Linked DNA regions of Tribolium castaneum. The protein of the gene in region 1 purifies or fractionates together with the protein of each later gene. This does not show direct contact. Links are inferred from orthologs where the notes say so. Each region holds a gene or a part of one and is shown in the gene's direction. Other genes may lie near its edges.

What was found.
Region 2: the proteins of sxc (region 1) and CXXC-type zinc finger protein 1 purify together in Homo sapiens (affinity purification with mass spectrometry; 3 studies listed by BioGRID and IntAct, with this or other methods). This does not show direct contact. The link is inferred for Tribolium castaneum from reciprocal best matches to the Homo sapiens genes OGT and CXXC1.

Annotation. Positions count from the first base shown.
Region 1 is NC_087394.1:6,425,155-6,428,975, reverse strand, and holds part of sxc (UDP-N-acetylglucosamine--peptide N-acetylglucosaminyltransferase 110 kDa subunit), read left to right. Parts: intron 1-2,227; coding exon 2,228-2,424; intron 2,425-3,821. UniProt on the Homo sapiens protein: Catalyzes the transfer of a single N-acetylglucosamine from UDP-GlcNAc to a serine or threonine residue in cytoplasmic and nuclear proteins resulting in their modification with a beta-linked N-acetylglucosamine (O-GlcNAc).
Region 2 is NC_087398.1:9,598,794-9,603,144, forward strand, and holds CXXC-type zinc finger protein 1, read left to right. Parts: upstream 1-1,536; 5' UTR 1,537-1,646; coding exon 1,647-1,670; intron 1,671-1,723; coding exon 1,724-1,869; intron 1,870-1,919; coding exon 1,920-2,264; intron 2,265-2,313; coding exon 2,314-3,067; intron 3,068-3,773; coding exon 3,774-4,007; 3' UTR 4,008-4,082; downstream 4,083-4,351. Other genes in the region: uncharacterized protein LOC107397902, read right to left, coding at 1-477, 531-722, 784-916, 969-1,308. UniProt on the Homo sapiens protein: Transcriptional activator that exhibits a unique DNA binding specificity for CpG unmethylated motifs with a preference for CpGG.

The DNA of each region.
Region 1 (3,821 bases):
ATTCGAGAAATTTCTTAAAAATAAATCGAAAAAAGCACTAAATATGGTCTAGTTTTAACCTTGTTTGAGCATTTAAGCATATTTTTATCCTGAAAACTTGGGAGGTAATTGTTTAACGTATATTATAAAAAATATAATTGAAAAATGGTTGCATTGGGACTATTTTTTAAAATGCTTTACCGCTGAATACCTTTTTAAGAAAAAACATTTACGTGAAATTTTAAACACAGAATTGAGTTTAAACACAGAGAAGCTCAATAATTCCGGCAATTTCATTAAAAAATGCAAGTTTTGTGGCAAATAGTGCCATTGTCTTCTCTTTGTTTTGAGCTAGAATTAGTTAAAAATGGCATGTTTTTTTGAGCATTTTAGCACTTTTTTATTCAGAAATGCAATTATTTTGAGTAAAAATAAATCGAAAAGTTAAAAATTGATTAGACATTTGTGTTATTAAACGATGTTGCGTTGTATTTTGTAATAATTTTTAGCAAAAAATTTAGTTTTTCGCGAAAATTTTCGAAACACTAAATTGGGTTTCAGGTGATATTATTTATCGTTGATGTGTTTTATTTTATACGTTTTTATGCAGAAACTAAATAAAGAAATCGAATTTCGTCGAAAATGCGGCGGTTTTTGTCATTCCTTTGCACTTTAAAAAGTTCCTTGAGTTTAAATTAATTATAGTTTTTTTTGAGCATTTTAATACATTTTTTAGCCAATTATTTTACGGAGCATTGTCAAAAATAAACTGAAAACTCACAAAAAGTTGTTTTAGTACGTTTTTATGCATAAACTAAATAATTTCGCGAGATTTTGTAAAAAATGCTTCAGTTTTTGTCATTTATTGCACTTCTTACTGGTATTTTTAAAATTAATTATATTAGCTTCACTTGACATCAGGTGCCTAAGTTTGTCTTAATCTTACTTCTTTATTACTTTTTTTTATTATAATTATTCTTTCTCTGGGTACTGCGAAATTATCATCAATAAAATTTTCTGATTATAAAACGTCAAAAGAATCTGGAAATAAATCAGTTGTTTCGCGAATAAAGTTATCATGAGCTGTTTTGCGTGAATTTAATTTCAAGCTACATTTGCTGTAATTGCTTTTTCTAGAGGAATGCTTGTAAATTAAGCTAAATTTTTGCATTTAAATAGGGCGTTAGGGAGCATTTATTAAAAAAAGTTTAATATTAAAATAACAACTTTCGGAGGTTTTTGATTTTTGTTTATTAATAACGAAGATATTTACCGGGAACGTCTCAGTTGAGACACTGTTTTTTAATTTTGTTGCTTTTGTTATTTTAATTATCGCAAAAAAGAGTTTCACCAAAATATCGGTATCAATGTTTTTTTTTTCCTAAAGAAGCTTATTTACATCAACTAGACAGTACTTTAAGGAAAATTCGAACTCTGAAATTGGAAATATAAATAAATAATCAGTTAATTCAATTTTTTTTGCTCATTTAGCTGAGAATTTTTAACAGTTTTATTCGCACTGTTGTATCTTATGCCTTGGGAAGATGAAGCGGTAGGCGTATAAAAATAAATATTTCAGGAGAGTTGATATTTCCTTTGGGTACGCGGAGTGTCTTTGGATTCAGGTGCGATCAAATGGGAACAAAATCTGCTTTTGTGTCAGTTTTGTTCCAAATGGTTGTGAGCCAGCTTTCAGGGACACCCGTTTCAGTGAAAATGACGGTGAACATTGTAAATAAGTTGTTTCTTTTAAGTTTAGGCCCGGTGGCATTGAGTTTCTGGTTTAGAGAGTGGGAATAGCTTTGGTGATTTTCTGTTTGTGGCCGCCTATAATTGACAAATGAGAATGCTGACTAATGGTATTACTGTTGCTGTACAATAATACAGGTATGTGGCTGGTGTCCCGTGCGCCTCCCTGGAATCACACTGGTAAAACTATGGGCTTAGTCTCAGGTAATGTACGCAAGCGAACAAGATGTTTCTTTGTTTTTAGGTATTGGAGTGAGGCCTCTCTGTGCGTCAATTGCTTGCTTGCGTAATGAGTTTTCTTCTTTTTTTCGACCGTTTCTATGTCGATTTTAAGGTGCGTAAGTTGTGCGCTGGCGTATTTTTTCACCTCAGTATGCGTTCATTGCGTTTTGGCGATTTTTTTCTGTCCCAACCTGTTTGGAGAGGCCTCGAAAATATGGGCGCTTGCGATTTACTATAGTCCTTTGTGCTTGTTATTTATTCCTGATTTGTTGTATAGGCGTGTTATTTGAAAGCTATCGAGACTAGACCGGATTTCGCCGTCGCTTGGAGCAATCTTGGATGCGTTTTTAACGCTCAAGGGGAGATCTGGCTCGCGATACATCATTTCGAAAAAGCAGTCGGTTTGGATCCCAATTTCTTGGATGCCTACATCAATCTGGGCAATGTGCTGAAAGAAGCGCGAATTTTCGATCGGTAAGTAAAAGAATCACAGGAAAATGTCACCTAAAATATAAAAAAATAACAAAATTATTGTAAAATGCTTTCTATAAAAAAAAGGCGCTTCTGTACAAATAAATCGCAATAAAATAAAATTAAATTGGGGAAATTTTAATTATTACGCAAAATAAGCCAAATTGTCATAAATGGTGCATTTTTGACGCTTAAACTTACGTCTGTTGATAAATCTCATTATGTTTTTGCGAGATTATGTTAAAATGTGACGGTAAATTGTAAAATTTACACAAAATTTTTTTTTCGGACGTTTTATCATGTTTTTTCACTGAGCAACGCAATTAATTTATAGAATTTTATTAAATAGGAACAGAAAAATTACTTTTTTGTACAAATAAATCACAATTAAATGTAAAAAATTAAATTATGTCAAGAAAAAATTAAAATTAAACTGTAGAAGCTTCAATTATTACGCGAAATTTTGTTAATTATGAGCTAAATTGTGTTAAATGGTATATTTAGATAATTTCTCTTGTTAGATTATGTTAAAATGTGACGGTATATCGTGTAAAATTTACACGAAAATTGAATTTTTTTCATGTTCACTCAGAAAAACAGCGAATTTCTGGAGTTTTTTTTTAAATTACTAAATTTGGTTAAATGTGGTGCAGTTTTAACCTTGTTTCGAGAGTTCACATTTGTTAGAACATTGTTTTTATTCCACTGAATAATACCGCGAAAAGTAGCATTTTGTAAACAAGTTTTGACGTTTTTCATGTTGTTTGATGTCTTAAACATTAATTTTTGCTACATTTTGTTTATTGCTGGTAACTTTTTATTTGTATTTTTTTGTTTTTACGTTGAAAACTCAGAAGATTAATTGTTTAACGAAATTTTGTTAAAAATTAATCAAAAAATACGTTTTTCGCGAGAATTAGTTTTTGAACACTGAATAATGGTTTGCAGGTGATATTTTATCCTTATTGTGTTTTATTAATGCGTTTTTTTATTAAATACTTTTGCGTGATTTCTTAAAAAAAAATCGAATTTCATCGTAACAACTTTTATGTTATTTTGATTATTGCGACTGTTTCACCTAAATGTTAGAATAGAAATGTGATTTTCTAAAGGAAAATTCGAATTCGAAATAAAAAAAAACCTAAACAGTTTCGGTGTTAAAAAGGAAATATTTATTGATTAAGAAAAAATTGTTGATCTTTTTGTTTTTTTTTGTTCGAATTTTTGTGAATTATTTTGAAAATCTATAATAGAAACGAATCCCGAACTCGACTGGTAATTAATTTTCGATCGGTAAGTAAAAGAATCACAGGAAAATGTTACACAAATTATAAAAATTTAACACAACTATTGTAAAATGCTTCATATTTAAACAAAAACGCGCTTTTGTACAAATAAAT
Region 2 (4,351 bases), on another chromosome or scaffold:
TTAGAAACTGTGCTTTGGGCAACCCCAAAGCGTTGCGCCAAATCAAGTTGAGGGAAATTGAGTCGTAATTTTACTAGGGTTAAAAAGAGTTGGTCAATTCTAGTTAACTTTTGGACTGTCCATTTGTGGTAATATTTTATGTCCAACTTTTCGATTAAGTGAAACAATGCTTCGAAAATCTGGCTATTGGGAAGACCGGTATATAAAACAATGAGTTTGTCATTTCCTTGAACATTTTCATAGCAAAATCGTACTGTCAGATATTGTATTTTTGCTTTAAGTTCAGCATTTTCCTTTTTGAGAAAATACATTTCTGCTTCAAGAGCCGCATGTGACACCAAGGGTGCTTGCACACCCATAGATTCTAACGGAGCATCTTGAATTATATCTGCTGGTGCTGCAACTACGGCTGTAGACGTCGATGGCACTTCCTCTAAATTCATTGTCGATGGTACTGTTTCTTCCGGTATATCAACACTATTCAAATGATCAAATTGTAAATCAATTTAAAACTAGGATTCACTTTTTACCTTAATGATTCAGCGGAACTAGAACAAGAAGGGAGTCCTTGTTTTTTCATCTTTTTTTTTTCTGGAGATTCCACTTGAAAATAGGCTCTTTTTGCGATATTGTGCAAAAATAATTCAGGACCATTTTCCTTTCTTCCATCCCGAAAATGGCAGCTGCAAACGTAGGCTCCTGGTCCGGGTTCTACATCTCTTCTACATTTAACAATGAAACAAGCAATTAAAAATTAATATCAAAACATCTATTAAAAATTACCTCAACAATTTTTTCCATAGTGCTCGTTCTTTTCCCGACTTAGGAAAACTAAAAAAATGGCATTTATCGCGAGTACTATAGTGTTTGCAATCTGGAGCCCAACACATTCCCATAGTTGTGATGTAAAAACCTACTACACATGAACTATCAAAGTATCGCAACAAAATATTATTCACAAATCATACCTAATGATGTACCACAAAAATGAGATAATGTCTTGGAAAAACAGAATTTTAAAAATTCAAGAACACGAAGATATGGAGAACGATCGGAAAAAACACGATAACAAAAGACACTCACGAAAGAAGCACAGAACTCACAACCCGTACTACTTTCAACCATGTATGTGCCTGAACCCTCTACCCTCGTATACCTGCTATTCATCCCTCGTGATGGGGGAGGGGGACAGAAAACAACCCGTTTATTGGGGTTGCGCCGGTTGCACCCCATGAATTCGTCATTCAGAAGAAATCCAATGTCATTAGTGTGGCAAACCATTTTTCCCTCAGTTTTAAAAGGCCACATAATAATTTACATCAATATGATGTCCAAATTAAGAAAAACTGAATTTTGAAGTTTGAAAAAAGTTAGGTTAGAAAAGGATTTATGTGTTCAACTTACAGAAATATTAGCTCAGTTGCTAAAATCTTTAAGAAACGACATTGCATTTTTCATAGCTATCATTTCTCTGTAAAAGTAATGTTCCTACACTTCTAGCATTAAAGAAATACGAAAAACTTTTAAATGCCCATAAGAAAAGCATTGAAAATGGCGATTGTTTAGCTTTAAGGTGCTGACCTACCTCAAATGTCTAACAGAGCTAGGAAAAGTGGCTAAAAGAAGCAAGGTTAAGTTAATTGAAGATGTCTCGAAAACGCGATATTTCGGTAATTTTTGGCATAAACCGGACAAAACTGTGTTTAATTTGCCTTGTTTTTAGCGCGAAGAGATCGCTAAACAGTTTCTGTTACCGGAGCGTCAATCCAAAATCGACACCCTCCTCAAGCAAGATGGTCAAGCTTATTGCATTTGTCGCTCCTCGGACAGCTCCCGTTTCATGATTGCGTGTGACGCCTGTGAAGAATGGTAAAAAACCACCTGCATGCCAACACATTGTTCAAATCATGCATTTCTAGGTACCACGGCGATTGCATGAACATCTCCGAAAAGGAGGCCAAAATGATCAAACAATACATTTGTATTCGCTGTTCCGAGGAGGACTCAACTCTGCAGACTCGTTGGCGGACCAAACGCGACGAAATCGCCAGTGCCAACACCAACACCGAGGAGCGCAAAGCCCGCAAACGCAAAGAACGAGGTGACACCAAAAACGACAAAAAAATGAAAAAATGCGGGGACTGTATGGGGTGTTACCGCACCGAGGACTGCGGGCGGTGCGACGTGTGCACGAGGCGGAGCCGTCACGGCTCCCCGCGCAACAAGGAGCGGTGCAAGCAGCGGATTTGCATAAATTACGGCGGGTGGGGTAGCCACGCCCCATGACTTGATTCTTGACCAATTGATTTGCAGGGGGAGGCGCAAGAGGCGGGATTCAAGCTCGGACAGGGAAGGCCCGCCCAATGCCCACCTCATGACCGACTATCCGCGCCAATGCTACGGGCCCACGTGTACCAATAGCGCCCGCTACGGCTCGAAATACTGCTCGGATCAGTGTGGCTTAAAGTTGGCAACCAATCGGATTTTGCAAGTGTTGCCACAGCGTATCCAAGAGTGGGCCCTGAGTCCCTGCTCTGCCGAAGAGTCCAATATCAAAGCTCTCGACCAAGTCAGGAAGCAACAGTTCGAAGTCAAACAGATTTTGCAAGAGTTGGACAGCCGGCATCGCGAATTGGACGCGATTATCGAGCGCGCCAAGAGCGCCACCATTGATCCGAACGCCGATTTCGACAACGACGAAGAGTCGGAAGTGTCGACCATGTATTGCATAACATGCGGACTCGAAATACATTCGAAAACGGCCATCAAACACATGGAAAAGTGTTTCAACAAGTACGAATCTCAAGCGAGTTTCGGGAGTATTTTTAAAACCAGAATTGAGGGGAATAACATGTTTTGCGATTTTTATAATCCAGCTAATCGGACTTATTGTAAAAGATTGAGGGTTTTGTGCCCAGAGCATTGCAAGGATCCGAAAATCGGCGAATATGAAGTCTGTGGCTGTCCATTGGTCACCAACGTTTTCGATCTGACAGGGGAGTTTTGTCGAGCGCCGAAAAAATCATGCGTTAAGCATCACGTTTGGGAGAAATTGAGACGGGCTGAGGTAAGATATTAAAAAAAAATGAAGTATTAATGCTACAATTAAGAAAGTTGCTCGAAAAAATCTACTTTTCCATCTTTTTTGCTTAGTAGAATTTGTATTGTATTGCAATATAGCTCAGGGTGGAATGTTAAGGCCGGCAAAAATATTTTGATTTTGATTTTGAAAAAAATACCTAGTAAATAGACGGGTTGCGTTTTTTTAAATTAATTGATGAAATTATTAGTTTTCGTCGTTTTTTTTTACTTTTTAAGTTCTTAATTGTTTAGTTTTAAAAAGTTTGTAGTTGTAGTTTCAATTCATGTTCATAGAAAATTCACCATCAATAATGGAAGAAAAAGCTTACGTAGTAAATAACACAAAAAAATGAAAAAAGTAAACGACAACGTAATATTTTAGAAAAAAGTTGTAAAAATGGTTACGTTTTCTGAAAAACAAAAATTTTTTAAATAAATAAAGGGTGATTTTTTAATAAATATCTTACTAAAGGAGATTGGTGCATGTTTGGTGACATTACAAAGAACTTTTTCAGGTTTTTTAATTTAATTTTCAGAACTACCTTGCATTTTTTGAGATTTGGGGTACAACAAAAAATGCCATTTGTCAATAAAAAGTGCCTTTTTTCACTTTGTTGACTTTTCTTTATTTTCATTAACTAATTTTTTTTTGAAGAAAAAAATGTCAGGCATTAATCGAGTTCAAATTTTAGATCGACTTGGAACGGGTGCGCCAGTGGTTGAAAATGGACGAACTTTTAGAAAAAGAGCGCCAAATTCGCAACACAATGGCCTCGAGAGCCGGAGTGCTCTCTCTGATGCTGCACTCGACATACAATCACGAAGTCATGGAACAAATAACAAAAGCGAGTCAGCAGGACCAAAACGCGATGCAAAGAGAGTTGGCTAAGAGATTCCGCACGTCTACCAAACCACGTTTCACGTAAAAACTTTATTTAAGAAAATATGTACAACATTATCATTGCTTGCTTGATTTCGGCAATATAGTTTGTTTGATCTCATCCAGGAGTTGTTTTCTCTTTTCTGCCTCGGCTTTGACCCTGTTTATGGCGATTTGCGCCCCGGCATGTCCCGTATTCAGCAAACTTTTAATAAAGGTAAAAATTGCGTCCGAATTATCCCTGAAACAAGTAAGAATCAGTATGGAAAGTCACCGGTTTTACACACTTTTTGGCAACCGGGGAGCCGGAGTCGCTCTCTGCAGGTTCCGGTAAAGCTAGCGCCGAAAAGTTGGCTAAAAGCACAACGAAGATGAAGAGACTGACACAAA